Arabidopsis thaliana: one gene and its partners. The protein of the gene in region 1 interacts with the protein of each later gene in a pairwise test. Each region holds a gene or a part of one and is shown in the gene's direction. Other genes may lie near its edges.

Evidence for each region.
Region 2: the proteins of AT1G14340 (region 1) and SDH6 interact in a two-hybrid assay, tested with the Arabidopsis thaliana proteins (one large-scale study listed by BioGRID).
Region 3: the proteins of AT1G14340 (region 1) and AT1G71480 interact in a two-hybrid assay, tested with the Arabidopsis thaliana proteins (one large-scale study listed by BioGRID).
Region 4: the proteins of AT1G14340 (region 1) and AT5G65925 interact in a two-hybrid assay, tested with the Arabidopsis thaliana proteins (one large-scale study listed by BioGRID).

Annotation. Positions count from the first base shown.
Region 1 is NC_003070.9:4,893,417-4,901,510, forward strand, and holds AT1G14340 (RNA-binding (RRM/RBD/RNP motifs) family protein), read left to right. Parts: upstream 1-3,929; 5' UTR 3,930-4,034; intron 4,035-4,278; 5' UTR 4,279-4,292; coding exon 4,293-4,411; intron 4,412-4,502; coding exon 4,503-4,578; intron 4,579-4,663; coding exon 4,664-4,777; intron 4,778-4,934; coding exon 4,935-5,360; 3' UTR 5,361-5,619; downstream 5,620-8,094. Other genes in the region: AT1G14345 (NAD(P)-linked oxidoreductase superfamily protein), read left to right, coding at 5,760-6,350.
Region 2 is NC_003070.9:2,680,625-2,688,552, forward strand, and holds SDH6 (succinate dehydrogenase subunit), read left to right. Parts: upstream 1-3,551; 5' UTR 3,552-3,715; coding exon 3,716-3,895; intron 3,896-4,256; coding exon 4,257-4,359; intron 4,360-4,625; coding exon 4,626-4,771; 3' UTR 4,772-5,078; downstream 5,079-7,928. Other genes in the region: SSL3 (strictosidine synthase-like 3), read right to left, coding at 1,638-2,040, 2,245-2,412, 2,675-2,950, 3,028-3,353; CPNIFS (chloroplastic NIFS-like cysteine desulfurase), read right to left, coding at 5,356-5,526, 6,049-6,207, 6,312-6,411, 6,491-6,554, 6,671-6,743, 6,825-6,970, 7,080-7,266, 7,342-7,635 and 1 more.
Region 3 is NC_003070.9:26,928,791-26,936,737, forward strand, and holds AT1G71480 (Nuclear transport factor 2 (NTF2) family protein), read left to right. Parts: upstream 1-3,061; 5' UTR 3,062-3,288; coding exon 3,289-3,627; exon of another isoform or gene 3,628-3,677; intron 3,678-3,716; coding exon 3,717-3,831; coding exon of another isoform or gene 3,832-3,836; intron 3,837-3,911; coding exon 3,912-3,993; coding exon of another isoform or gene 3,994-3,997; intron 3,998-4,087; coding exon 4,088-4,139; exon of another isoform or gene 4,140-4,233; coding exon 4,234-4,296; 3' UTR 4,297-4,523; downstream 4,524-7,947. Other genes in the region: AT1G71460 (Pentatricopeptide repeat (PPR-like) superfamily protein), read right to left, coding at 1-1,526; AT1G71470 (uncharacterized protein), read left to right, coding at 1,996-2,134, 2,367-2,623; AT1G71490 (Tetratricopeptide repeat (TPR)-like superfamily protein), read right to left, coding at 4,536-6,581; AT1G71500 (Rieske (2Fe-2S) domain-containing protein), read left to right, coding at 7,294-7,707.
Region 4 is NC_003076.8:26,364,383-26,371,766, forward strand, and holds AT5G65925 (uncharacterized protein), read left to right. Parts: upstream 1-4,662; 5' UTR 4,663-4,739; coding exon 4,740-5,192; 3' UTR 5,193-5,472; downstream 5,473-7,384. Other genes in the region: AT5G65920 (ARM repeat superfamily protein), read right to left, coding at 1-1,275; ZWI (kinesin-like calmodulin-binding protein (ZWICHEL)), read right to left, coding at 5,987-6,167, 6,265-6,536, 6,857-7,054, 7,141-7,236, 7,307-7,384.

The DNA of each region.
Region 1 (8,094 bases):
GTTGGTTTATCATAATTTTTATTCATCTACAAGTGTTTTATCGTTTAGCTGATGGCCTTTTTCAAAGCATGAGATAAATCTAAATGTAACAAATACTAAAAGATTAGTAAGACACTTATTATTATTATGGATAAAGGTCTTGATCGTACCATATGTTATCTTTACATATTTCACGCATTGATTAGAATTTTGATAAATCATCGAAGCTTAAGTCGCGCCGAAAGATTTTAGCGTGCAACTAAAGGATTATTATATTGCGAGTTGCATCTTGGCAGCTGTAATCCACTCATTAATTGCCACGTGTGAAGGCCATCTTTAAACATTATTTGGACGGTAGAAAAGAGCTTTATCAGTCGTTAGAATTTGTGAGTAATCTAATCAAATCATTTGCATATCTATCTTTCTAAACTGTGTTTTTTCTCTTATTTTGTTATATCTATCTTTTTATTTAGTTTTTGCTTTATCTTCTTAAGGCGAGATGTATGGTATCGTTAACAGTTAACACGGTATTTTGACTATTATCCAAGCTCGTGAAACCTTTTCATAAGTAATTCAAGGTGCAATGAAAATGAAAAAAAAAAAAAAATCGTTGAAGTTGACATCGTATAGAAGAGGTCTAAGATCCATATTTTATGTACTACTTTATAAATAAATTACAAATTTAATCTTTGAGACATTGTGGTGTTAATAATAACCATTTTGTATTTACTGAATTTCGATAATGTTTGTGACGTATTGTTCTATCAAAGTTTCCAAGTTTGATAAGATTTTTGGAGTCAAAGGTCAATAACTATGAATTTAAAATTCCGTTACCTTTCAACGATATTTATCTAATACTATCTCAGCAGAAATGCAGTTACCCTTAATTAATAAAAATATATATATATTCTACAGAGCTGTTTGTATTTTCATATGGTAAAGTTTCATTATCTTTTCGTTTTCAATGAATATTGGTTTTGACTTTTGACCACAAAAACAAAATGAATATTGGTTGGAGAAAGGTTAAATATAAATTTATTTATTTTTGCTTTCGAATTTTCTTCTAAAATTATCGAATAGGTGACTGTTTTTTTTTGGCGTATCTTATTAGTGACTTGTGTCTGAAAGTGAAGTCCTAAGAGCTGTCCACGTGATCTGTTTGTATTGTGTGTTCACATTCCTTTTCTTTCCACATTAATCTCTCTTATATTAAGTGTCTTAATTGATGACTACATTCCTAATTTATATATGTGAAAGTGTTATTAAGAATCTGAGTATTGTGTTACATAAGAATGGGTATAAGATTGCTAAAGAGAATCCCCAAAATTTTGTTTGTATTTATTTTCGAGTAGTTGATATACCTTCTCATGTGAGTTACATTACTTTACGAGCCATTATCCGACGCGTGAAAGCCCAGGCTACATCTGTATTCACAACTGAGGAAAAAGACAAAATTGCCAACAAAAGTATTAGGTTGAAAATTGATCATTACAAGTTGCAAGTTGCAGCACATTACAATATTTTCTTCTCATTACAAAAAATATCGAAAAAGATTTTTTGTGTGTGTATTTGAATAGCTGTTATACCAGCTAATTGTTTTGAATTATCCGTCGTAAGGAGATAACGTGGTGGCTCCTAATACCTTTACTTCTTCTTTTCTTCTCTTTTGGCAATGCCTTGTCATTCAAGTCAACGTCGAATTTCAACACGTGCTCTTCGTAAACTCAAGATTACATAGATTTGAATGTAACTAACTTATCACATCTTATATCTAGTCTTCTAAATTTTGCTGTCTATGGATAATATAACATAATATATGGTATATAAACAACACATTATGATAAATATCTTAAATACATTCACTTTAATGGGATCGTATGAAAACATTTTGTGTTTCTTTTGGTCATAATTGCAAGTTGAAGTATTGGTTAATGCTGACCATCAGGCAAATACGAAGAGTAAACAATACATGATTAACATCTAAGAATTGTTTGTTCTGGTTTCGGCCGTTTTAGTTTTCGGTGGATATGGAAAAATGTGTAGAACAAAAAGGTTCAGAACTCCAGAATTCTACCACACAAAAGAAATTGTTTCAGGTTTGACGCTTATAATTTATGATTTGTGGAACAATGACAAAGATTATCATCGACTAATCTTAGAAGACACTTATTAAGAATCACATATGAAAAAAGCTTACTAGATACAAATAATATAATAACAATAAACAAACTCTATTAACAATAGAGGAAAATTGGGAGATATCAACTTGGAATGTGATATTTGAATCGACTAATCGAGTCAATTAAAGACAAAGAAAATTATGATTTAAGAAAAACAGGTGAGTTTGATAAAACACGTTGTAGTCTTGTTGTAGATCTCCGAATTGACGTCAACTCAATATCAAAATCTTTCACTATGAAATTCAAAATCCGAATCAAAACGTCTAACCTAGCTATAGAATATATACATTAGTCAATGGTCAACCTTTTATATTTTATTGTTATAATCATATATGGTGAAGATAATTGTATTTGGAGGACCAATATTCAACTATTTCCTGTAATTTAGAACATTTATTTTTTTCTTAAATATATGTTTTTTGCTTATATATAGTCGCAATTTTTAGAAGTTCCATAATCCATATACTTGAACTTCTAAAGCTATAGTCGCAAGCACCTTATTGTTGTTGTTTAATAAAAGTTCTAATTTTGGTAGACAAGTGAAAAAACAAAATTAAACTATCTGGTGTTTACATATATGAAAAATATACATTTCCAGCAGTGAATTTTGGTTTTGCATGAAAAATACATAAATAGCAATTCACTGCAGCAGGGGTCAGAATATAGAAACATGAACCACACACATAAAAAAAAAGTAGATTCTGACTAGATCAATCTGAATTAAAAACTAGTAAATTTTGACAGACGGACGTGGCCGTGGAAAGAAGTAGAAAGAGACAATGAGAGATGGAGAAAGAGAGACGTAAGTATTGATTTGGCCAACGGCTCATATGCAAAGAATATTAATAATAATAATGTTCTTTGCGTTTTTTTACCAATTACATCAAACATTTGTTAGGCACACGTCTTTTCTTTTTCTCCTTTTTAGTTAAGGGCATCTCCATCCATGAAAAACCCACAAAGTTTCTCAAACAAAAAAAAATTAATATTATATTATAATTTGATTTTTTGATTAAAAAAATATTTTTATTAAAAAGTTGAATCAATAATTAAAAGGGAATTATCATGATGGATTGTAGAGAATATCTCAGAGTTTCTCAAGTAAGAAACTTTCTACTCTCTCTCCTTCATTTTTATTATTTTTATTTTTTAATTGTGAGAAACTCTTATAAAAAACCCCCAATGAAAATGGTCTAACTTTCTTTTCCGTTGAATTTCTCTCATGTATTAACAGTAACATAAGTATTTATATCACATACACTTGTCAAATTTGTCTCTTTAGAGATTTTAAAAAGTTATCACTTAGAGAACTTTTACCTGTTTGGACTTTGGACGGTTAGACAGATAATATCTAAAATTACTCCAATTTTTATATATACATGCAATACTAAGGTATAAAAAAGGTTCTAGAATGTTAAAATCGTTGCTGAAAAAAAACAAAATCGTCTATAGATTGTTAATTTTTGCTTCTTGTACAAACACTTAGTAATGATTAATGATTTAATTTTAATATGTAAAGACTGATTTTTAAAATAAAAAATAGCATAAGATGAAAATTTATGTTTCAAAAAATATTTGTGATTATGGGTTGTTTGAGACTGGAAAATAATCAAACAACATTGGGCCTTTCATGTAGAATTTTTTATTACATTTAGAACCGTTAACGATATGGGCTAACTCAAGACATTAAAGGCCCAACATTGAGTTACTAAACGGCGCAGTTTTTAGCTTTTTAAAATTGCGTCTTTTTCGTTCACTGAAAAGGTAGTCCTTCTCTTTCCCACTCACATCATCAACTTCATCAATTCATCACCTTTGTCTCTCTTTCAAGCTTCTCTGTGTGTGATCTCCGTTGGTCAACAACAACTACAACAGGTAACTTCTATTCTTCGATTCCTTAAATTTCTTCTCTAGAGCTTAGTGAATCAACGATTTAGGTCTGAACATATTTGGCAATCTGTCCTTGCTCAAATTTCGCTTGAAAATTTCAATCCCAAATCATGTAAAGCTAAATCGGAAAGTTCTATGTAGTTCCCAAAGTTGAATCACGAACTGGAAGTAATTTAATTTATTGACTTAGGATATGTTGAAATTTTTAGGTTTTTTGTTTTGTTTTTAGCTTATTGAGCAGAGATGGATCATCAATTTGGATATGGTGTTGAAGTTACTGGGTTATCTCCATCTGTTACTCATAATGATCTTATCGATTTCTTCTCTTTCTCTGGTACTATCCAAGATATTGATATTGTCAGGTGAGTCTTTTTACTTTTTAGCAAGTTTGTTGTTTGTTTGCTTATTCTGGATTCAAAAGAGTACACTTTGTAATGTTGTTAATGAGACTAGGTCGGGTGAGCAAGCTTGTACTGCTTATGTGATGTTTAAGGATTCTTATTCTCAAGAAACTGCTGTTTTACTCACTGTAAGTGTTAGTTTGGATTTGATTCACTCTTTCTATCTTTTTTGGATGTCTCTTGAGAAATCACTCACTTCTTTGATATCTTCAGGGCGCAACGATATTGGATCAGCGTGTTTGTATAACTCGTTGGGGACAACATCACGAAGAGTTCGATTTCTGGAATGCGACTTCGCGAGGTTTTGAAGATGAATCGGACTCACAAGTATGTATCGCTTTTGACACTTCTCTCAACTTTGATCTTTCTGTCTTCTTTTTTTGTTAAAATAGTTAAATCTAACGGTCACTGGTTCAGTAGTCTTTATGTTGAAGTTTGATGCTTGGTCTCAATTCTAAAGCTTATTCGTTCTTCAATCATGTAGCATTATGCTCAACGAAGCGAGTTCAACGCTGGAGAAGCAGTGACAAAAGCTCAAGAAGTGGTGAAAATAATGCTTGCCACAGGATTCGTGCTAGGCAAAGACGCTTTAAGCAAAGCTAAAGCCTTTGATGAATCCCACGGCGTATCAGCTGCAGCGGTGGCTAGAGTATCTCAACTAGAACAGAGGATTGGTCTTACTGACAAAATCTTTACCGGACTTGAAGCTGTTAGAATGACTGACCAAAGGTATCATGTTTCAGATACAGCTAAATCAGCTGTCTTTGCCACAGGAAGAACCGCGGCAGCAGCTGCAACTAGTGTTGTCAATAGCAGTTACTTCTCCAGCGGAGCTCTTTGGCTGTCTGGTGCATTAGAGAGAGCTGCTAAAGCCGCATCTGATCTCGGTACCCGCGGCTCAAGGCAGTGAATAGACCAATGGCCCGATTCAGAACCGTATTCGTCTGTGAATATATATGATGCAAAGCTGATCATGAATAACTGGCTCATGAAGTGTGATAAGACCAAATTTTATCAAAACGAATACCATATAGAAATCTATCAAAGTATACTCTCACATGATGATGCTGATATAGAGTTTGGTTACATTACCTACATCTTAACTCTTCATTAGTAGCATAATCTTTTTTCTTATATAATTTCTGATTTATATCATTCTATGGTTGATATTGATTCAATATTTGGATAGATGTTGTATCCATAGAGCTTAGGCCACGTGGCACAATTTGCGCCAAAAAATCAAATCCAAAAAACAGAGAAGTCATCATCTTTTCACTCCAAATCTTCCAGTCACTCAAATCATTCTCTCATGGCAGCTTCTTCCTCAATTCCGCCGTCAACCGCCGTAACCTCCGTCGTTCGCAAATCTCTCCTCCTCTCAACCACCTTCTCCTTCCCCGCTTCTTCATTGTCTCCCTCCACGAAACTACCACAAAGACACATTCAAAGATTGCTCCTAGCTTCCTCCTCCGCATCCGCATCCACCGTTCCTTCCGATTCCAAACCGGCGAAGAAAGAAACAGTCTACTTCGACGGCGGAGCTCATTACGGAGATCTATTAGCCAATCTCATTCTAGGTCTAACCATCCTTTGGCTCCCACTAACCTTAGCTGCAGTGTCTCGAGCTTTTAACCTTCGTTACAGGTTCACTAACCTCCGCGTGACGGTTATTTCGGGACTCACCGGAGATGATCGGAGCGATTTCTCGTACAAAGTGATAAAAGACGTTCAAGTTGTGCCGAGGTTCATCGGAGAATGGGGAGATATCATCATTACTTTGAAAGATGGAACTAAAGTGGATTTGAGAAGTGTCCCTAAGTTCAGAGAGATTGCTAAGTACTGTTTATCTATGGCTGATCAACCTGCTGTTTTGAAAGAATCTGGTGCTAAAGGCTTTTGATTATTTCTCATTTCTGGGCAAAATTGATTCTTCTTGTTGTGATTTCTTCAGTACAAATCGAATCCTTTCCATGTTCTTTCATTTGTTATTGATTTCTTCATCTCTGTATTGTTAAGACGATCGTATCTAAACGGCGCGCGATTTTAGCTCTACAATAAGAAACGGCGTGATGTTTGGTTAATGTTGAAACGGCAGGTAGTCCTCTTTTAGATTAGAGAAATGGCATGGATATTAATACTATCTTCTTCTTTTTTATTCATATGGCTGCATTTTAAGAATATAGAGGATTAACAGCCCAAAGTTTGGATTAAAAAAAAAACAGCCCAAAGTTATTTATTAATTATTCAAGTTCAAAATAGCGTCAATTATCTTTAATTTATATACACGTTTATTTATTTCTACTTTTCTAATAACCAAGATTCATCATAAGCAAATTAATCTCTAAAAAGTAAAAACTATCAAGTTTATACAAATGGGCAAACGAAAATGTATAATTTGAATAATGTGCCCACATTAATTTCTATACTCGCATATGAAAATATGATTACGTTTTTTATGGGATAACGGATTCAAATACAAGAAATGGGATTACATATTCAATAGCTTCCTTTGTTAGTACTTTAATTCTAGTAGTTCAAAGACTAATTAATAAGAACTACATATGGTCCTATCTGTTAAATTTGACCATATTAATCTAATAATCTCCATTGGATTCCACTAAAATTTGTTAAAAAAATATTAGTAGAGAATTTCGTAAGAGAAGGTTGATGAGTATGTATAGGGAGTCTTATTAAAGCTTCTGCCTCTGACACATTCTCATCAAATCTTATGTAGTCTTCCCCATTTCCCAATTTTGACCATATTATTCTTGTTTTTATTCTTTGTTTATCATACCCCGTTGTCTTCTTTCATTGTTTATCCTATACGTTTTCTAATCACATATAGGGTGTGATATGGTGAAAGCAAAAAGATGTGGGAGTAAAATAAAAATAGATTTTGGCGTAATTATTTCTGTCCATTTTCTCTAATTGTTTTGTAGCGGAAAAAATTATAAAGTTTTCGACACTTTCAGCTCAAACCTTTTTTTTTCCTTTTTCTGTGAATCATAGGCGAATCTAGAGTAATATTTTATTTTACTCTAACAAATATAACCAATAACACCCATAGTTTTTATATCTCCACTCCAATGATGCACTATTTTTAGAGAAACATCCGAAATATGAATACATTATCTCCAAAATATAGTGTTAGAAGTTGGTTTCGCAATGTGAGTTCATAGAAGTTGCATATAAAGCATAAATATACACCGTAAAGATAGATGGCTCACTATCCACCAGCAACTTTCAATTAAAAAGGAACATTTTGCAGAATTCATATTTCTCTCTTTGTTCCCAAGCTTTATGTCACATTGTTTCACATGCATGGGCAGAATGGGCTGATTGGCACATATGTGCACTTACATGTCCGTGCGCTGTGCGCATCTGTAAAAGTTCATGTCTACATGGTAAACAAGTACGCGTATTGAATACGTACACATACATACCTCTAAAATGGCGTATTCACGAGAAATCCAAAATACAATATGGGATCAATATCCAATATCAGCTGAATTCTTCGGATAACTTAGAATCTATATATAAAGCAAAAACCTTATAATATACTATTAACTTTATCTCAAAAAGGAAAGTGGTTAATTCTGAATTTGGTCAGTCTTTTTAATTTTAAAATAAATAGAAAAAGGGCG
Region 2 (7,928 bases), 2.2 Mb from region 1:
ATAGATATTTTGTTGTATAGCTGTGGTCAACTTTTGCTAAAAGAATGCCACTTTGGAAAAAATGACTCAAGCATTTAGACCAAATAGCAATCACTATAGTTTTCACGTCAACATCAAATTTCTATTCAGTATTACGTACTAATTATAACTTCATTTTCTATTTGTCCAAAATGGACACTAACTCCGCAGCTGGTGGCTATGTTTAATGATAAGCATCTCGTAGAGATCGTATATCCACCACTCCCGACGAAGGGTTAGAGAAGTGGGGTCGTCTCCAATGTGTGACAACAGTCTTAGAGACACTTACGTACACCTTCCATCGTCCATGCACAAATATTTTAAGAAAACAGGAAAGTAGAAAAGCTTTGGATATATGATTTTGAATTGAGATAGGTATAAATATAGTAGTAGGAGAGGGAGAGGAAGAGAGGGAAGAGATGACATTTTTAATGAAGGGTCCAAAAGAAAAACAGAATCTGAAACGTCAAATCATGTTAGTTGAGGTCTTTGGCTGTTTGTGCCTCTGACGGGTCTTGTCCACACACTTTAATGTTTCCTTTTCTTTCTTTCTTTTTTCACTGCCTTTTTTCTTCCTTCATTATTATGTTTTTTTGCTTCAATCTTCATTATTACCGTTTTCATTATCCTTTGTTTGTTTAACGGTAAATCTGTTTCGGAACAATTTAGTCTAATAGCCACAAATAAAAGTAGTGTAAAGAATGTATTAGTTAGTTAGATATAATTAGTTATATATAAATTGCCAAATCAAGTCCATAACAAATTAGAAACGTGGATACACAGCTTTATCCTTAATTTTGTTTTTGTTTTAATTAGCTTACATGATTGCATGTGACACATAAATGACAAAAAACAAATTTGACATAAACCATACTTTAAAAATAATAAAATTATGTATTAATGATGTTATTGGTTTAACTGATTTTTATTTTAGAAGTCTACACTTTAAAGTTTAATCCCTACCTCCAACATCTTTAATCCTAACAATCCTATGAAATTGTATATGCTTAAGCAGTTAACCCTAACACTGTGTACCCTTACGCTAATTTAAAAGATTCTATGAAAGTACTTCTAATTTTATATTATTTTTAGCAATAGAATTTCATAACATTAATTTCTATGCTTTATAAACATGTTTAATTCTAGATATGGTATAACTATATTTCTTAAATTGTTACCCTAAAGTCGTATAAATGTGTGTAAAAAAAAAAGTCGTATAAATGGTGAACAATTAAATTGCAAAGATGAAAGAACACAAATTATTCACGTGGCCAGCCCAGCCCAGTAATTGATAGATTTGTTGTTTAAGCCCAGCAATTAGTATCGAATCGAACCAATATTCTGAACCGAATACATCATGGTTACACGACCGACACCTATAAGGTTGTCTTCTTTGATGATCAAACCTAAAGTCCGAAAAAGAAAAAAAAGAAAAAAAACCCGAAAAACTTTAGCTCATTGAAAGACTAATTGACTAAAGACATGGCAAAAAGGATACTGTATTTAGTAATTGTTTGTGTTTGAATTGATTACGTCAAATATAGTTTGATAACGAGATGCATATTGCAATCCCATAGCCAAACTAGAAATATACAAATTTGAATAGAAAAAGAAACGAACTAAGGCAAGTCATATACGGCAATGAAGGACATCAATACACTTCCCATCCAAAGCTTCCCATCTTTCTCCTCCACTTCACTCACTGCCTTCACCACTTTCCCTTTACTATCTTCCAACACCTTTAGCACTTTCCCTTCTTCACTGTACTTCACAGCTACAGCATGAGGCCAACCACCTACCTGCAGCAAGTACTGAAACTTCACTGATATCGGCAGCTTCAGAAAGAACTTCCTCACCCTCGGGTAATGCGCCATCAAGTGTGTGAATATGTTTCTGTGGCAGTGCACCGCCACCCAGAAATCTCCATCTTTGTTTGTGCGGATGTTGTCTGGGAACCCATGTAATAGAGCTACCACTTCTGACGTTCCAGCTTTCTCCCCTTTCAACCAGTATTTCCGTAATCTGAACAACAACAACAAAAAATGACTTAGATTCTGTTCACAGTATTGGAGTTTGTTTCTAGCAGAATCATTGAAACGATATGGAAACAACATGCTAATCGTTCCATTTTAGCTTCAATCAGAAATGCTGATTGCAGAAGTTATGCCAAGTATATATACAGACAATGATGTGGAAGTCAGAGAGGAATTAAGATGAAGGACTCACCTTCCAATAGATCCTTCACAAAAGATGAAAAAGGAGCCGTCTTTGCCGAGGGATAATCCGTTAGGAAACTGGAGATTTCTCACGAGAGTGGTAGTCTCCTTTGTTTTTGGATTGTATTTCAACACCCTCCCACTGTCTTCCCCCGAGACAATCAAAAGCATAAATTTCCTACAAATAGCGCAATCAACATACTCAAACAAAAGTAGTAACTAGACATCGGAAGCTCATTGCAACTTCTTGTAGATCCTCAAAAGATAAACAGAATTCAACATTTAAGGCTCTGAAGTTATAGCCGCAGTCAAAATTTTCAATTTATGTGCCTATGACAGATCATTTCAATCAATATAACATGAGTTCCAAAAAGCAACACTTTATGCAAGCCACTGATCAGGAGAGTTAGTAAAGATCAAAACTTTAAAACCTTACATACCTTCGTTGGAAGAAAGAGCTGCTATCAGTAAAGTAAACATTGCCTTCATCATCAATGTCAAGATCATTGGTAAATCTCAAAGGCACACCATCAGCCTCGTTTGTAACAGAAGTTGCTAAACCTCCTTCCGGACCAACTTTCATTATCCCCAAATACGCATCTGCAATGTACAAATCCCCATTTTTCTTGTCGAATCGAAGACCTAAAGGCCGACCACAGATATCTTCATCCTTTAAGTAATCCAAAAGCGATGGCTTAGGATCACATAGCTCTGACCTAATAAAACATCAAAGTTGAGAACTTTACTGGAAACGAAATGGTCACAAAGACTCGATTGCAATCACAAGACTCACCGATTGTTCGAAGTATATGCGAAATCTGTCCAACGAGTGCCATTCCAAAAGAGAATTCGACCGTCGGCGACTCCGGTATAAGGACCACGACCTTGCGGATCGAAAGCAATGCTCTCGGGACCTTGAACCTCGTTAAGAAACCTGATCTCTGAATTCTGCAACAGATTCTGGCGGTCTCTCTCCTTTGGAAGTGACGATAACGGAGGCATGTCAATCTTGTAAGTTTTGAAATCCGGGAACTTGGAAATGGAGCTGTGACTGAAGGGATCGATAGCGCAATAGATGGCAAAGACGAGAAAGATCTTCGCGAGTATGCTCATGGCCATTTTCTTTGTACGAGGGATGATGATGATGATTTGAAGAAGAAAATGGTTGGGGAAGTTTTAAGGTAGAGAAGTAGAGAAGAAGTAGTTGCAGTAGAGTACACTTTTCTGGTTGAAAATTTAAAACTTTTCTCAATTGCTGCTCTTTTTCGATATATTAAGAAAAGTCAAGGAGCAATTGCAAATCGGCTAATCTGATGGCAACCCGGTATTAAATTAAAAAAAGAAACATGAAAACCGGGTGAACCGGATCGACCTTCCATTTTTTCGGTAGACCAGTTTTATTTATTCTGCAAATAATAATCGTCTTCAATCAGAGAAAAAGTTTGCAGTGAGAAGGAGATTGATTAATCGATCTGAGAAAGATGGGAGATTCGGAGTCATTTGTTGGGAAAAATTGGAATGGATTGAAGGATTTCTGGAGTGATAGGTTATCATTTTTCGAAAATTACACCAGATTCACCAAACGCGACGCGCCTCTTCCTTCTTGGTCTTCCTCCGACGTCGAGGAATTCATTGCCTCCGATCCCGTTCATGGACCCACCGTAATTTCCTTCTATCTTTCTCTCGCTCTGTGTTTTGGAATCTATAGATATTGTTGGTCCATTATCTATGACTCGGCTGGTACTCGATTTTACTCTGCTGTCATCGGTTTATTTTTTTCTTCTTCATTTGATTTTCCATTGGAAAGTTTCTGTTACTTTTTGATATAATAAAGTTCCACTAGGCTAGGTTTTTCTGGCTTTAGTCCTTGGAAGCACAGATACAAGAGGACTAAGCCCACTGCATCGTCGTCGGATGGCATAAAAAACCTAGCAAAAACTGAACTGTTGGTTTGGTATTTGGTATTCTTACTGAAGATCTTACGTTTGGTACTCATTGTGTATTTGTGGTCATCCTATCCAGCTGAAAACGGCTAGGGAAGCTGTGACGTTTGGTGTTACCGGAGCTGCACTTGGAGCTGTCTCTACTGCTGCTTTTGCCTGGAAATACTCCAGGAGTCCACATGGTAATGACATTTCTCTCTCTGTGAATAACTATTTGCTCTTTATAAACCTCACTTGTTTCTTCAAACGAAGACACAAAGCTTGCAATTCAGGGATAATGGGATTATTTGGGAGTCAATTAGACCTTTATGTCCTATATTGATAATACTTGGAAACTGGTTTGAAAGTTTATGCAGTTCTCATGGCGCTTACATTGTTTCTCAATACTAAATTGCTGTTTATTTTTCTTCCAACTTTTGACACCTCTAAACTACTGCTGGTGCGACAGGTGCTGCATTGTCCTTCTTAGGAGGAGGTGTTTTTGGTTGGACCTTTGGGCAAGAGGTCGCCAACCACACACTGCAACTCTACAAGTTGGACACAATGGCAGCCCAAGTTAAGTTCATGGAATGGTGGGAACGTAAGTCTCAATAAAGGTCCTGAATCTAAAACGAAGACGTGTGCTGCTTTCTCGTCCAGAGTATCTTCTTGGGAACAACATGAAATGCTGATTATCCATCCATTTCCAGACTTTCGCCTTTGAAACTTTTTCTATTCTCACTCTTGGAACATGTTTGCCTTGTCTTAATAATACAACATGCCTCATGAATGTTTTGAAGATTTGAGAAAATGAATTCAAAGAAACCAAATGGTCTCAAAAGAATCAGGGAATGACGACTACCCCAACTGAGCACATATCGAAACCTTTCCTTTGATGATTCATATTAGTAACTTTTCTTCATGTTGAGTTTGTTTTTTATGAAACTTACAAATTAACAACGAAGCATTTGCTTTCGTGTGTATTCGTACAAATATGATCAAGTAGAGGCCTGAAATTGTTCATGACTACTGTCGGTCTATTTTTTCATACAAATTGCTAACTACAACACAAATTGCCCTTCGGACTTGAAGAAACAAAATCCACTCCCATTGATCATATAAAGCAGATTTAAATAAGTAGCCTCTGAAGCAATATACCATACAAACCAGCCGAGAGATCCAGCAGGAAGGTGTTCCACTTATTTGAAAGAGTTGAAGAAGCTCACAGTGTCTGCCAGCGCAACGATGAAGGCGTCAACGTCATCCTTTGTGTTGTAAAAGTAGAGGCTGGCGCGTGCACTTGCATTCACTCCAAGATACCGGTGGAGTGGCTGTGCGCAGTGGTGTCCTGACCTTATTGCAACTCCGTGCTGCAACATACAATATTCGTTTTCAGTTTTCATCCCACTATGGATATTCTGATGAGAGAGTAAAGTAGGGGTTTGAGGTGGACGGTTAACATTAGAACGATCAAGATGAATTTGTTTAATCTAGATCAGTTAAAACTTCTTACAGCTGAACTCATTACTAATGTATGAGAATCACTCGGATCAAGTACTTGGACAGGTATCATGTAACCTAGATGATCTACGGGTTTTGTTTTAACCTAGTTATCAACAGAGTCCAGGCTCGTGTTCACACATGAGATTTCACCTAAATCTTGGAATAAAGAAGATCAACCTCAATTATAGGCTGCTACCACAAGATATCCTAAGGTAGGCATCTGAGATTCGCTTTGACCACTAAGTGGTAACATTACCCACTAAGAAGAGAAAGAGGTGGTAGGTAGTGCCCTTATCCTACTTGAGGTACTACCTCATATTAAAAGAATACGTTCAAGATAAGAGAAAACCAGTATGTGATGGGACAGATAGCTCCCAATTATAACAAACCTGCTGATCAAGAAAGGTTGCCAAATCAGTTGGGTGCAAGCCCTCCACATTGAAGGAACAAAGAGCACCCCTGTGAACACTTTCAGAAGGTCTGGGACCGTATATCCGCACATCAGGCAGGGAAGACAGTTTCTCGTACAAATACTTACCAATCTCTACCTGGATGACACAAGAAATTAAAATCTACAGTTAGAAAACATGTGAGAATCTCCGTGACTGTATGTACGTCATTGACGTCTAGTTGTAGGAAAATAAAATTAAACCTCATATTCATGGATTTTCGGCATGCCAATTCCTGACAAGTAATCAACTGCTGCTCCAAGGGCAATTGCTTCTCCTATTGCAGGTGTTCCAGCTTCAAATCTGATACAAACTTAAATATATTTATTTCTAAACTGCAGCAATTATGCAGATTAGTAACTAATATATGTAGAATCCCTACCTGGATGGAGGTTCCGCATAAGTTGAATGGTCAAGAAATACATCTGAGATCATTTCTCCGCCACCTAAAAGAGGATCGAAATACAAGGAAAAAAAGAAGTGGGACTCAGTCCAGTCCCATCCTTGATTAAACAGATATGATAAACTGTTTTCATAAAGAAATATTAGATAGACTGCTTACCTAAGAATGGAGGCATGGAATGTAGAAGATCACTCTTACCATATAAGAACCCAATGCCTGTAGGTCCACACATCTGAAGCATGATTATCATATTACTATAAGCTTGCCACAGGGCTTATTATGCATTTCATGAAGAAAAATAAACAATTCCAACCTTGTGAGAAGACGCAACTAGAAAATCAGCATTAAGCTTCTGGACATCAACCACCATGTGAGGAACACTTTGACAAGCATCCACTAGAACTTTCGCTCCAACATCGTGTGCCCATACCACAATCTCTTCAATAGGAAGAGAAGATGCTAAACAAAAAGAAACATAAGTTAGATACTTACCTTCTTTCATGGAAAAATTAAACACATATACAAGCCAAACAAATTGAATATGATGAGAACATGAAAAAGAATCTACCAAGAACATTAGAAACATGATGAACAGCGACGAGCTTTGTCTTTGGAGAAATCAATTCTCTCAACTTGTTTATGTCAGGGACTTCATCCTCATTCAAAGTCACAAACTTTAGAACTGCTCCAGTTTTTTGAGATACAATTTGCCAAGGAACAATGCAACTATGATGTTCAGCAACTGTAAGTATAACCTGAAAAGCTTGCATCATTCACAATCTCATTTGGAAGAATCTCAACAAGATGGATTGATAAAAGTAAAGCCAAACCTCGTCTCCTGGTTTAAGATTAGAAAGACCCCATGAATAAGCTACAAGATTGATGGCTTCAGTGGCATTCCTTGTAAAAACAATCTCTCTACTATCAGAAGCATTGATGAAACGAGCAACTTTTTTCCTAGCTAACTCAAATTCATCTGTAGCTTTAGCACTTAAATAGTGTATTCCTCGATGAACGTTGGAATTATAGAACTCATAGTAATTCTGCAAAGCGTCCAATACAGCTGCTGGCTTCTGAGAAGTTGCAGCACTGTCTAAGTACACAAGCTTTGACCCATTCACTTCCTGAAATAAAAACTCAATCAATGGTAAAATTGCTTAATTTTCAAATCCATACAATTCAAAGTTAATCAGGTTTATGGAAAGTGGACAAACCTGGTGGAGAATTCGGAAATCTTTTCGAACGCGATGGCCGAGAGAGACGGATTCGGAATCAGTGGAGATGGTGGCGGAGGAAGCGGCGGCGGCGGAACAAACGGATAGCGAAGAGGAGCAACGAACGCGGGAGAAGCTCCGGTGGCCGATGGAGATGGCGTTAGGGAACGACGGGAGTTTCATAGCCACACCTTCCATGGTGG
Region 3 (7,947 bases), about 22 Mb from region 1:
AATCTGAATACCTCAATCCCTGCTCTTAAATCACAATTTTCCACATAGCAGTCAATCATAGCGGTCCATGCTTTCACATTCCTTTGTTCCAACCTGTCAAACAGTCTGATAGGATACTCTGGAACACCGCACTTTGAGTACATCACCATCAAGGAAGTGACCAGGGATACATTCGGCAAGAAGAGATTCTTTAAAGCATAACAATGAATCTCCTTTCCTTGCTTTATAGCCCTCAGCTCTGCGCAAACAGGAAGAACAGTAGCAATTGTAACAACATCTGGCCTAAAACCTTCCTGCTGCATCCAAACAATCGACCTCAAAGCTTGATCAAATCTACCGTTGGCTGCGTATCCAGACATCAATGCAGTCCAAGATATGGCATTCCTCTGTTTGGATCCATAGAACACACGTCTCCCAGAAGCCATATCCCCACACTTGCAGTATAAATCAATCAAACCAGAGTGAACAAACGGCTGTTCCACGTAATTCTTCGATTTCAATACATGGGCATGGACCTCCTTCCCCAGTTTCAGTGCCTTAACATCCCCAAGTACGGGAAGAATCGTTGTAAGTATAACTGAGTTTGGATATATCTTTTCTTCACTAATCATCGTCCTAAACAGTCCCAACGCTTCCCACTGCCTTTTATTGTGAGCCAATCCAGCAATCATCGCCCCCCAAACAACTATATCTCTCTCTACAATCTCATCAAAAACTCGACGTGCAAGCCCTACTTTACCACACTTAAAATACATATCAACAAGAGAAGTCTTAAGAAAGACACTATTAAACAAACCATTCTTAATCGCAAGTGCATGCGTCTTCAATCCCTGTCTCAAAGCAGATGCACCAGCAAAACTCTTAAACACATTAGATAAACTATAAACATTCAAATCAACACCAAGCTCTCTCATTTCTGTAAACGTAGAAAGAACATCTTGATACCGCTTCTTCCCTGATATAACAGTCCCTCTAAGCAACGCATTCCAAGAGTAAACATTTGAGCTAGTACTTTCATCGAACACCTTCTGTGCATCTTTAACCGAACCACAAGCAGTATACATATGAACAAGCTTGGTCCTTAGAAACTCATTACTCTCCAACCCATTAATACGTATATGAACATGGACTTGTTTACCGTGAAGCAACGACTTCCGGCGAACACACGCCTCTAAAAGAGCAGAGAAAGTTGTCGCATTTACAGGAATCCCTCTCTGTTCGAGATAATCAAGAATCGTGAGAGCGACTTCGAGATTGTTCTGCCTCGCAAAAATTTGAATATCTCTGTGGATAATGTAGGGGTTCTTGGAGTGGAGAGGAAGAGAAGAAGGGAAAGCATCTCTTTCCCTAAAAGGTTTCGGCTTTTTGGCGGGAGAAGTGGAAGGTCGTCTAGTTCTGCTTGGTCTAATCGGAGATTTCGCCGGAGCGCCATCTTTATCGGAACGATGAGGACGGTGGTTGAGACTCGTCGTCACGGAGAGGGACGCCGGGAGGTCTCGGATTCCGAGAGACGACACTACTTCCATTGTGACCACTAACCACTTGATTAAGCTAAAGGTCGTTAGTATTTATATGTAGCTTTAAACTATTTTTATAAAGTATGCAATTGAAATTGAAAGCTAATATTTGGGCCAGAAAATTGAAATATGGGCTTAGGGCCCCCAAAACAATTGTAGCCCATCAGTTCACACACGGTTTCGTTTTTAAAAAAAGCATGTATTTAGAATTTATTGGCTTTTATTTTGGTGGTTGCTTCAATCTTCCTCGTTTAAAAACAATTCATGTCAACTTGGACAAGTTACAAAAAAAACGTTTCATATTTTTGTCACTAAAAATATTCAGTTAAATAAAGTAATTGACTCTTCGTTTTCCCGACGATACTGTATAAATAAACATCATGTTTCTACTTGTTCACATATCGACTCTTTGTTTGTCCGATTCTATCTCTCTCTTTAGAAACTTTATCTAGTCTCTTCGAACTTAATCTTAACGACGATGGTGCCGGTTACGATCAACTCTCCACCTAAACCTGAATCATCCGAAGAAGAACTCAGCGACTCCCAAGTTTCCAACTCATCGGAAGACGACGACTCAATGGAAGACGAACCATCAGACTCTGAAAACAACAATGGAGGTACATGCATGCATCACTCTCTATTTTATTTCAGATTTTTCACTTCACCATTTCACATGTTTCCACTGTAAAGAAGTTGGAGCGTTTGTTAAGAAATACTTTGCATGTTCATGTTCTGTTTGACTGTGAGGTTTCAAGATTATTACGTTGATATAAAAATCTTAAAAGTGATTAAGATAGTTTTTGTATCGTATCTTTAATACTTTCTTAAAAAAAAATCTTATGTCAATAGTTGTTACAGAAACTGAGGCTAATGGTATTAAAGATGAGTTTTGGGCTCGGTATCCATCTTTGAAGATGTTTTTAAGTAAGGAGATGGTCAAAGAATTTATTTCTGAAGAGTATATTTTGGAGAAAGGTAAGCTTATTGGAGATAATAAGGCCAAAGAATTGAATGAAAAATGTGAGGTTTTGTTTATCAAGGAGATAGAGCATCTCATCAACAAATATCGCTTCATGGCTGATGTTTTGGAGTTGTTGTTTTTGTGAGAACTTTTCGATAGTGACGTGCATGGCTTGAGTTTGATTTTCTCGTTTTTATTTATGTTATAATTATTGTGTTCCATCTATGAATGTAAAAGATTTATGAAGGATTCGATTTTTTTCTCTTTTTTTAAAGATTATTATAAACGTCTTTCATAACCATCTCTTTATTCATTATATGTTCAGGAGTGAAAAAACAAAATCTAAAAAATAGGGTTAAATGTTTGCTTAGCTTCTCTCTTTATGTAGATTTGAGAACCGATGAACAAGAATTTACTGAAAATATATCATTGATCTAAAAATTATGAAAAACAATTCAACTTTTTATCCACCAACACATATTTTTCTTTACTTTTCTGTTCTGCTACGCATTACCTAGTCTTATATTTCGAAAAATTATAAAATCTCATTTCACAACTAAATTAAAAGTATCATTTCACAAACAAATAAGATGAAATGATGATAGAAAAATCATCAATTAATAGGAAAGAGGATTGGAGTATACTTCTATTGATTGTTACAGTATCCACATGGCATCGATAATCATAGGGACTACTAATAAGAATTTCTGTCCACAAATTCCAATTGAAATTCAAAATTCAACTCTTTGCTCTCTTAATCACAAACACAAATGAGCCACAAAAACGAAGACATCATATCAAGAAACGACGATGAGCTTCACTGCTTCTCTCGTCTCTTATTTGACGTCTCCCTCACTCGTCTCGCTCAACCATCTTCCTCCTTCCTTCTTCCTCCCAACCAAACTTGTCAAGCCAACAAGCCTCACTCATTCACAGCCTCCGAGATTGTCCGCATCCTATGGTCCAGCTGCAAAAGCTGCTACAGCCAACGACGTTGTTCCAGAAACAGCTCCGACATCAGCGTCGGAGGTCGTCTCCAGCTTCTACGCCGCCGTTAACGTCCATGATTTATCCTCTGTCACAGACCTCATCGCTCAGGACTGCGTCTACGAGGATCTCGTCTTCTCATCTCCCTTTGTTGGCCGAAAGGTGAAACGATTATTATTCTAATAAACCAAAGTCTCTTCTTTTCAGACTTTGTTGTGTCTCAGAGCCTAATTTTGATAAAGCCATGACAGGCAATTCTTGATTTCTTCGGAAAATTCATTGAATCAACAAGTACGGATCTCCAATTCGTGATAGATGATATCTCAACAGAAGACTCTTCAGCTGTTGGAGTTTCATGGCATTTAGGTTAGTTTTTAACAGACTCTTTATGATTTAGTCGTCTATGTTTCTCTAATGATAAGTCGTAAATTGGAGATTTTTGACAGAATGGAAAGGAAAGAACTTCCCATTTAGCAAAGGTTGCAGCTTTTACCGGTTAGAGGTGATTGATGGGAAGAGACAGATCGTGTAAGCACACTTTTCTCGACAGATCGTGTAGACTGACAGAGATGCCAATTTTTGTCTTGCTGGGATAAACATTTCTTCTCTGTTTTGTTTGCAGATATGGAAGAGACTGCGTTGAGCCTGCAATCAAACCTGGAGAAACAGTTCTGGTAACATGAGCTACTATCAATTTTGATTGTGTGGATGTGTTTGAAATTGCAGAGGTAATGAAGATTTAACAGCTTTTGCATTTTGTGTATTCAGGCTGCTATAAAGGGAGTTACCTGGCTGCTGCAGAAATTTCCTCAACTGGCCGACCAATTCTGATGGCATTACAAAGCTCTTGCTCGATGAAGTGAATCAGCTCACAATATAAGTTTTCTTTGTGTTATATAGGAAAAATACTTCCGCAGCAATCCCCACCATTGTCCAATTTTAGTTAATGTATATACTAGAACTTGTCATGTGTATCCAACTTGTTCTCAGTCTGGTGATATGCAGGCGTATATAGACTATGTGCTATTAACTAAATAAAGCTCCAGTTGATCATCCTCAGCTCTTCACCTTCATCCCATTTCTTGAAGAAGTTCTTCATCTGAACTTTGCACCTTATTGATGGCATAACCAGCATTGTCTTTCATCAGCTGATTCAGTCCATCTAATAGAGGATAAGTATTACATGCTTCAGGGCTTGATGTGTCCCCCACCGAAAACAGTGAAAATCCAGAATCTGTGTCGATCCAAGCACAGCCAGGATCCTTTTTCACACCCAAGTCCCTCATTATAGTCCTCACTTCAGCAAGCTTGCTCCAAGAACCAGCAGCTGCATACATATTTGCAATTAACACGTAGTATCCCGGGTTCTCTGGCTTCATCTCCAGGAGCTTTTCTGCTGCCCATTTACCAATCTGTGTGTTCCCATGGATGTGACACGCGTTCAGTAGGGTAGCCCACGTGGCACCGGATGGCTTATATGGCATATTGTGAATTATGTCTTTGGCTTTTGCTAGGAAACCTGCTCTGCCATAGAGATCAACCATACAAGAAAAATGTTGAAGACAAGGACGTATACCATACTCACACTGCATCTTCATAAACAGCCTTTCACCTTCATGGACTAACTTGGAATGACTGCAGGCTGATAGAACTGCAACCACGGTTACATGGTCAGGTTTAATACCAGATCTGGTCATCTCCTTGAACAGGGCCAAGGCTACTCCCCCTTCACCTTGATTTCCGTATCCATCTATCAAGGAAGTGTATGTTACTTCGTCTCTTTTGCTCATCAAATCAGATACTTGCTTTGCAGCTACAATCTTTCCCGATTTTGCATAAACATCAACAAGGGAGTTCCACAGCATTGTATAGTCCTTGAAGCACTTGCGCCTCAGGATGTAGCAATGAAACTCTTTTCCATGTTGCAGGTTTGCAATCCGAGCACAAAGAGGGAGAATGCTTGCTAGTGTAATGGAATTTGGCTGAAAGCCAGCAACCAACATCTCCCTCAGCAGGTGAGAGGCTTCTTCTGATTTGTTCAGCTGCGCATAACCGGAAATGATAGAGTTCCAAGTACACAAACTATTTTCTTCAGTCTGTCGAAACACTATTAAGGCGTGCCTAAGGTCTTTGCATTTTGAGTACATTGTGATCAACGTGTTTCGAACATTGTCAATCCCATCATAAGAACTGTGAATAGCAAGACCGTGAATCTCTTTTCCCAATCGTATTGCTCCTATGAGAGAGCAAGCCTTCAAACCAATAATCATAGCCACAGGATCTAAGCTCGTAGGAAAATTTCTCATCCTAGAGATCAAACCCAAAGCTCCTACATAATTTCCTGTTTGCAAACAACCTCCAGAAATAATATTCCAAGTTATGACACTGACCTCAACACCTGAAAACCACATTTTATCGAAAAGCTCAAACGCTTCACTCCACATGCCTTCCGAAGCATAACAGTTTATCACTGCATTCCATGAGACAGCATCCCTTTCAAACATTCGATCAAACAACCTCCGAGCAATACCCATATTTCTAAACCTTTTATACATAGAGATCAATGCATTACAAACATACAAGCTGGACTTGTAAGAGCTAACCTCGATGGAACCATGAACCACCCTTCCAAAGGCAACGTCAAGTGTTTCACCACAAGCCTTAAGAACAGACGGATAAGTGAAGGCATCGGGTCGGATTCCCTTGCTCACCATTCTCTTGTAAGCAGCAATAACCTCCTCAAAAAGCTCGTTCTTGGCATACGAAGCAATGAGCACATTCCAAGGTAAGGGATGCAAAATGTCAGAGTTCTCAATAATCGATTGAGCTTCATTGTGGAGATTGAAAGCAGAGTAAAAGGTAACCAGCTTTGGGACTAACACAGAGTGATATTCGACACCCGACGAAATACAGTGAGCGTGAACTTGCACCCCTGCTAAAAATGCACGAACATCAACGCAAGCGGATAAAAGGGAAGCCGCGGAATGCAAAACGAGGTCATCTGAAACTGCAGAAGAAGATTGAAGACGAAGAAGAGAAAACGTTTTGAAAGCGTCGTGCAAATGACCGTGGCTGGCCAAATGTCCAAGAGATTTGAAAAGACTCTCACTCAGCATTGGTTCAATGTGGGTTTGGAAAGTTCTTGGAACAAGACTGCGACTTTTTCCATAATCTGGGAATAAACTTGACAATGTCGGCTATGGTGAGACCTCCAAGAATATACGGCATATACTCTGTCTAACAACACCATGCCCAACGCGCCATATTCGAGCTCCACAACAAAAAATATGCTTCTCTACTTGAGATCAAAGCAGAATAAGACTACAAGTTGAGAAAACTTCATTGAAGCATATCATCGAACACGTGGTGTGCTGATTGCTGAACCATACTATATACACATTTGAACCCTAAGAGCTGAGAGTATATACATAGCAGAACCTATATGATTGAGAATAACGAAACAGAGGTAAGAGAGAGATATTGGAACAACAAAGCAAAGCGGAAGAATGCGCGCGAAAAAACGCAACAAGAGTACGAGACTCTGAAGATGAAGAGTGAAGACAACTCCATGCCAAATTTGCTTGTCGGTTACTGAATTTATGAGCCTTTCTCCTAAGGCCCACATTGGCCCAACTGTTTACAAGGCCCATTGGGGCTAGTTTCCAAACAAAATATCTGAAGAAGTGAGGCGTGTTGGCTAAATAGAGGCCCATATAAAAAAAGTGTGGCTACCATTATTCTTCTTCTTCTTCGTTATCCACTTCTCTCTCCTTTGTGTGGTCAAATGCATTTCCCTCCATTCTCTTACGCTTTCTCTCACTCTCGTCAATGGCGACCACCGCATCTTCATCTCTCCCCCGTAATTACTCCTTCACAACTCCGCGACCTTCATCATTCATCCGAGGACCGCCATTAGCTAGAACGCTGCCTCTCTATCTCCGCCGTAACCGTCGAGTAGCTCTCACTTACCGATTGGACCAGAATTCGAAGCAGAGAAGTGGTGGAAACGTAAGATGCGAGGCGACGGAGGTATCTTCTTCTTCTTCTGTATCCACACCTGGAAGGAATTGGGTGCCGGTGGTGCCGTTATCGGCGCTTCCGAAAGGTGAACGGCGAGTGGTTATTCAAGACGATGAGACGATATTGTTGCTTTGGTATAAGAACGATGTTTTTGCAATTGAGAATCGTTCACCAGCTGAAGGAGCTTATAGCGAAGGACTTCTCAACGCTAGGCTCACTCAGGTTTTCTTCGTCTTTGTACTTTTTATAATTTGAGCTTTTTTCGTCGTTTGGAAAAATTTCGAGCATGAAAGGTATTTGTGAAAATGCCTGACCGAGTAGTGTGATAGCTTTAGGAAACCAAGCTTATAACATAAGACATCTTTAGCTCCTTAATCAACACATAGCTTGAGTTGCTTCATCACATTGGTTATGGTTTTAAACTGTTGCTATAATGTATTAGGGTCTTGGTTTTAATAGTAG
Region 4 (7,384 bases), on another chromosome or scaffold:
ACTACATAACTTCAATAGCTCAGCTGAACGTTGCTTCAAAGCTGGATCACATCCACTTTGTATCACAAGCAAAAGCTTTGCAGCCAAACCAACTTCAACAGCAAGAGATGAACATTCTTCAGAAGCTAATTTGCAAACTGACCAAAGAATCGATATCGCATAGTTTGTGCATTTCTCTGATACCTTCATCAGTAACCTAACGGTATGCGGAATCGTGTTAACCGAATCTTTCAAAGCAATTCTGCCTTCGCTTTCTAAACATAACGAATCCAACACGAAAAGAGCTGACTCTAAACACTCCACATCCAAACATGGCAAAACATCAACCAATTGAGGAACTGCACCAATCCTAACCAACAAGTTCCTAACTTGTTTATGAACAGAAACCGATTTGAGCAGCGTTAACGCAGGCGAAACGCCGTTTCTTCGTCTCCTATCTTTAACCAATCTCATTAATCCAACAAGCAAACTATGACTAGAAACAAGCTCTGCTCTAAAACCTTTCTCCTCCACCAACCTTCCAATCAATCTAGCACAATTGATCTTAGTTTCAATCGAACCATCATTCAACATATCAACCATCAACGAGACCCTAGCTGGTTGCATCAATCCAGCTTTGGAATCAGAGTCAAGCTCAAGATTAACAAGAATAGCTATAGCCTCAGATCCAACAGCGTGAGAAGTAAAAGGACTTAAAAGAGAAGAGATCACAAAGACTCCACCTTCATCAACAACAGTCTTCTTAGCAATAGCGTGAGCCATCACAACTTGCTTAAGCTCGCTTAAAGCATGAACCTTTGCTTTCCCTTTAGCCTTTCTCAACGTACCCAGAATCTCAATAGCACGTCCTTGCACATCTTCAGATCGTTTCTTCATCAAAACATACTTCTGTGAAAACCAAGTGTAGATCAATTGGTGAAGAGTCTTGTTAGGAGTGACCAAATCATCCCAAAGCTCTTGCATCGTCGTTGGGCAAGTACAATGCCCTATATTGAACCATTTGAGAATGTTGGACCTCTCGTAGGTTTGACCAGTACACAAGGTCACTGGATCTTGCATCGGCTCTAGAGAGATAGGACAGATGAAAACAGAGGGTATTTCAGGTAATTCCAGCTCAGAAATCATCTCCTTCAAATCCAATTTCTTCTTCTCATCGGTAACAACCACCAGAAATTTCCCATCTCCGCCGCCAAGAACACCGTCTTTAACCGCCGAGTGTAGATCTAAGATATGCCCATCAAACCCACCGTTCTTAGAAGGCTGAAACATTGGCATTTTAAAAACAAAGTCTTTCTTCTTCCTTGCCTTTAAAAACGAGTCAAAAAGGAAACTTTCAACTCTCTCGTAATAATAATGGAGCAGTGTATCATAAATACATGATTAATGCTTCCCCACCTGCTAACCAAGAATCTGGATTGTTCCAAGAGTTTCAGAATCGATAGTGAACCTTGAAATCTCGGAACAGAACAAAAAAGTAAATGAATTTGTGAGAAATTTAAGAATACCCAGATGACGAATTTGTGAAAGAGGAAGAAGGAGAAGAGAATTGGTTGTGGTGTGTGTTTCGGTGAGAAGGAAATTATTAAAGCAAAGAGACAAATTAAAAAAAGGGAACGTTTCTTTTGGTTTGGACCAAAGATTTTCTCTTTTTCACTCTTTTTGCTGGGAAAAAACTAAAAAGCAGACAAAAACCCAAAAAAAAACACAGATTATGTTGACCGAGATTTTTACAGGCTATAGCCGGTTATCAACTCATCTCTCGACCCATGCGCCACACGTGCAAGCTCAGATCCTGAGGTTAAATACCCATTTTGTCCTTGGCTTGACCCATATGTACCCATCTTTAGCTAAAAAAAAAATTGAGGTGTTTTTTTTTTAAATATTTTTAGACCAAATAATAAATCTTCATATTGATTTTGTGTTCCATTGAAATATCATGTTGCTTAAAAGAGCACTCTCTTGGGTCTTCCCTTTAATTTTTGCTACTGAAATCGATGTGTTGTCAAAAACAATAAAGTATTATCTCAGTAAATTAAGAAGAAAAATAGATGAAGGGGGTATTATGGTCTTTTAGACGATGAGCAAAGAAAATCCCGCACGTAAGTAAAAAAAGCTGCTAAGTAAACTACAAATACCCACGAGGACAGGTTAGGGTCACGTGCGACGTTCATTTCAAGGCCTAATTACTTCATTAACCTTTTATTTGAATCATCATTATCATTGCTATAAACAATTCTCTATTTTTTCAAACAAAAATCTAAAAATCTCGTTTTTTATAAACACTTTTCTTTACAGTCTATATATTCTAGAAACTATGAAGAATAATTGCAGTAATGAGTAAATACATGGAAAAACAAAAGCATTACTCTTTCTCGTTTCATACTATTGAAATGGAACATATTTGCTTAAACAAATCCGTAGTATTACTCCCACTTAATTAGAAGAATAACAACAATTTTTTCTCTGTAAGAACATATTTTTCAATTTTTAGTAAGTTTATTTCCTAGATTGGCACGAAAAAGAAAAAAGAAAAAGTGTAAATAAAGAAGTATGGGGTCCACTACATGCAAAAGATCCAGCTAGACGTTTGACCATATGACAGTGTGTGTTGCTTTGACTGTACGCCTCGATCGTGTCTCGGTTGTCTTTGACTGCTCTGTCACCACTTATATCCTTCCACGTCTCTCTTTTCGTTCCTAATCTTCGGTATTAATGAATGTTGTTAACTTTTATTAATACTACAAATTTAACTAAATGAAGATAAATTTTAATAAGCGAAAATTGATGGGAGTGTCAGCAGAGAGATCTGAGACCCATGTGTTGTTTTTGTTGGAGTTGAGTACTCTGCCAGAAATGCAGAATTTTGATATTCCAACCAAGTTTTCAAATATCACACGGATTCAATCTTAATTATGTGTTATTAACAAAAGTATGATTCACTCAACTAGTTTTAGTTCTACAATTAATTGCTAGTTTATTTTTGAATTCTTAGTATTTTTAATTTATAGAGTATGTTATCAATGGCTATTGATAGGCAATGAATTCATTGCCAATGAATGATCTCAATGTTGTCGATGTTATGAGTTTCCCGGTCAAACTAGTAAACTTAAAGCGGACCGGCAAGAGTTTTAAGTCGATGTGACGTGTTTGTAATAACGACTAAAACCATGTGAATTTTCATATTGATTGTGACGATAATACAATTAGTATTTTTAACTAATAAATGGCTGTTTGTATGTGCTAGAGAAGGGACCTAGTGACCATGACTACAGGCTGGTTAGGGTTGTTCTAAATATTGTTTGATGAACAGAACACATATCAGGACATTTATATAATTGTTGTGCCTAGAGTTGCCCTGCATAATTTTCAATTTGCTAAATTTGTTTGATTATTTAACTTAGAAATGAGTTATTGAGATTGTCGTATTTGAATAATTACATCACATTGCGCTTTGTATTTTGTTTCTAAGCTACATAGACTGTCACGTGAGTCCTAAACTCGTAGATTATTTAACATGTTGTTTCGCTATTTTTAGGTTAGTGATACAAATTATGATTAATTTTTCAGCAGATCATAATTTAACTTGATGAATTGATTTATTTTTCGGGATATATTCGTTTGCGAATTCATATAGTATCATCATGATAATTGGATAACATAGAACTCGATTCACGATATTATTGGGTCTAAAACTGAAAATTTTACCATGCCTACGATTATCAGAAAATATAATAATGTTTGTGTTGTTGGGCTGTGAGGGCTTCGAAATGGTACATCAAAATGCTGTACACGGCCTTCGTGAATGATAGGATTTAAGAAGCCCAATAAGCTATGCAAAAATATAAAGATGCAAAATCGAGAATTTTTATTGTCGTTGTTAAAGATGCAAATCAAAAATTTAATATATCTCGTCCTAGACATACAGGTTACAAATTGACTTTCGAAAACTTTATTATGTGGGGCAAGTTATAATTGGAAATTATAAAAGTGCAGATAGATATGTCAGCGATGAATTTATTGCTTTCATTTCAAGTTGCCAACAACATATTGAATCCATTGTCAAATATCTCTATAGAAACAAATCAAGTTGAAGCAAAATCTTTCTTATTTGACAAATTGGTTTTAAATTTTGATAGTGAAACTGGTAAATCAAGTCAACTGTAACCACCAATTTCTTATATACTCTCTTTTCCTTCCAATGAATCTCTCACTCCCCCTAAATCATTATTTCAGTATTTTTAATGCAAGAAATTTGGTGCCATATCTCAATCCATATTAATTATAATAATAATTTCGACTTTGATATTTTTGTTGTTGTACGCTTTGATAACGTGTTTAAAGACATATAGACGTGTACTTTGGCAATTGTTATTTGACTATTGAGCTTGTAAGCAAGTTTAAGCTTCAATGGATAAATACTTCAAGAAATTTCTAAAAAATTAATACTAATTAAAACTGCCGGCCCTTAAGATTACAACTTCAACCTTATTTTGACTTAACCAAAGTAAATTAAACTATAGATTAATATTTTGTGAATTTTTAATAAGATAAGTATCACCAAACCGTAAACATCCAACTAGATACATTTATATATACATACCCTAATAATTATTATTTCTGAAATGCATTTAAAACGAAGTCTATCATACACGGCATCTTCCTGTTCTAGTCGCATCTCCTCTCTCTCTCACTCTCTCTGTAATCTCTTATATCAACTTTTTTTTATTCCACTTTAAATCATGAAAGCTAAAGAAATGAAGAAAGAAAGCAATTTAGCAAGGTTGGTGAAATCTCCGGTTCGTTTCTTGATCATGGCACGTGACGCTTACATACGTAGCATGACGTCATGCTCCGCCGGTTTCATCCGCGGTGGTGGTGGCTCCGGCGCTTTTGGCTTACCACCCGGTAATTTCCAAATCTGCGAAGCACCAACCACCGTTCTCCCTCGTAGCTTCACCCTAAATTCGGCCACGACAACACGTGAACGTTGCCGGTTTGTCACACGTGGCGCCAGCAGCGGAGAAATCACGGTGGAGACGACGGCTATGAAACGACAGATGGATCTCCGGAGAAATTATAGTTGTATGGTTATGGGAAGGATTGATGAAGAGAAGGTTTGTGATCAGTTTGAAGAAGAGGATTATAGCAAAAAAAGAAAAATCGGTGGAGTTTTCACTACTCATCAACAATAAAAGAAAGAAAATGAAGATGACCATACTCATTTTCGTTTCTTTCTTCTTCCATTTCTGGTTAGATACAAAAACGCTAAACAGCTGAAAGAAATTCATTTTGTGTGCATTGTTCAAGTGTGCTTATAGACTTTCTTGCTTGTATATAAATTTCAGTACGGAATACACAGTCTAGATTGCAGACATAGTGAAAGTAGTCCTTCATTGTGTCAATTTCGACATTTTTGAGTTACGTTTTCAACGAACACTGAATTAGTATTAATGCGAGACAGATGAGAAATCATGGAATGAAAAAAAGTTTTATTCAAAAAAAAAAAGGTCAAACAAAAAGAGATTTTTTTTTTTTTTCCTTCTTCTAGGCATTAGAGTAGTCCTTCAACTTTACATCACCCAATGTCAACGTATGGATTACATTTGTCTTGCGTGTAAATCCTTAAATTTTACTGGTGAATTTTTGTTATTTCTCCAATCCACAAAATGGAATTTATAGTCTAGTTTTCCCTTAAATTAAAAGTTTGAATTTTTAGTCTCCGTATACCATAACTTTTGACATTATGGGGTTATCTTTATATGTTTGTATGGTTCTCACCAGCTTCATATAATATCTACGAATTTTTTTTTTTTTTTTTCATTTCTTGTAATGAAGATCTCATCAAAAGAGAGAAAGTTTGAGACATATAGGACTACTCTTCGATAGAAACTCTACTATAAAGCAGGAACTTCCTACAAAAAGAATGGTGAAAACCAGTGATACTATAGTCTCAATTTCACCTAGACGAATTTCATGTCAGCTTTCTTCAACTATCTGCCTCATCTTTTCGTGTACGATCTTCCTCAATATCCACCAAGTCTTCTTCCTCACCTTTTTTACCGGCTTGCTCTTTCCAGTATGCTACCAACTTCTTCAATCGCACCATCTCTTTGGATGATATATGTTTGCTGGGATCATTCACGATCGTTCTCACTCTCGATGCATATCTGGAATCAAAGGAGGAAAAAAAACAATATGGATTATCCATTTTTACACTAAGCATATTTGATTTATGTTATATATATATGGGAACTCATGACTTACAGAAGAGAATTGTACGTCTCGTCCAAATTTGATTCGGCTGGAGACACATTAACAAACATTAACGTCTTGGCATTGCCGCCCAATGAATCGCTCATCAACATCGTTAGCTTGTGATTCCTATAAGGAATATGCTGGTTGCCAGAAGATAAAGCACCAATAACATCACCTAATGCAGAAAGTGATTTGTTGATACTTTGAGCTTCTTTGAGTTGACAACCAGCTGAGCCCGACTTTTTAACTCTCTCAGAACCAGCAAGATCCACAAAACTCAGCTGCAAATAACAAACAAAAATTCAGAATATTGTAGAAGATACCACCATGATCAGGTGATATGGGTTTAACAATGGAGGGCATATCATTGACTAATAATATGGATTGTGTACATAAAGGTTTAACATTTTGTACCAGACCAAAGATTTGAGCTGTAAAATAATATCTCTCTTAAACAAGATTAATGTTACTATATTTTTCTTCGGTAGACTAAGCATGAAAATCTAAAGAAACTCCTATTTCCTTAAAATCCCTAAATGCTACTAAATCCTGTGAAAAATGATAATGAGTCAATAAAGAAAAACATAGTGAATTTTGTCACCTTGCCCCTCGCAGCAGACTGGGTTTGAAGATCAATACTTTCAATAACAACTGATAATATGAGGTGAGATCTTGAGCTTTCTTCATTCATATTTGTTCCAGAAACATGTCGTCGTTCCGATCCCCGTTCAAGAATCATTCGCAGTTCCTCCAAAGTTGATATAGGAATAGTTGTCACATTCTCTACAAAGACCATTCCCTGAGAAAATATTTTATGCATAAGATCAAACTTACGTGTCTACAATCTAGTTATAACCTAGTTAAAATAGATATATCTCACAATACCTTTGAATCTTTTTTAATCTCTAGTTTCAAGCGTCTTGCACTTTTTGGTAACAAAAGGTCTACAAGTGTGTCTTGATAAAGTTCCACCATATATGCCTGCATAACTTTTTGTAGTCAGTTGATGTCATAATCTTTTATCACATCATCTATTAGGATAACAAATTACCTTTAGAGAAAATGAAAATCTCTTGCTATCTCGCTTTAATATGTTGAACAGTTCCTTTGTAGCTCGAGGTGTGAGTCC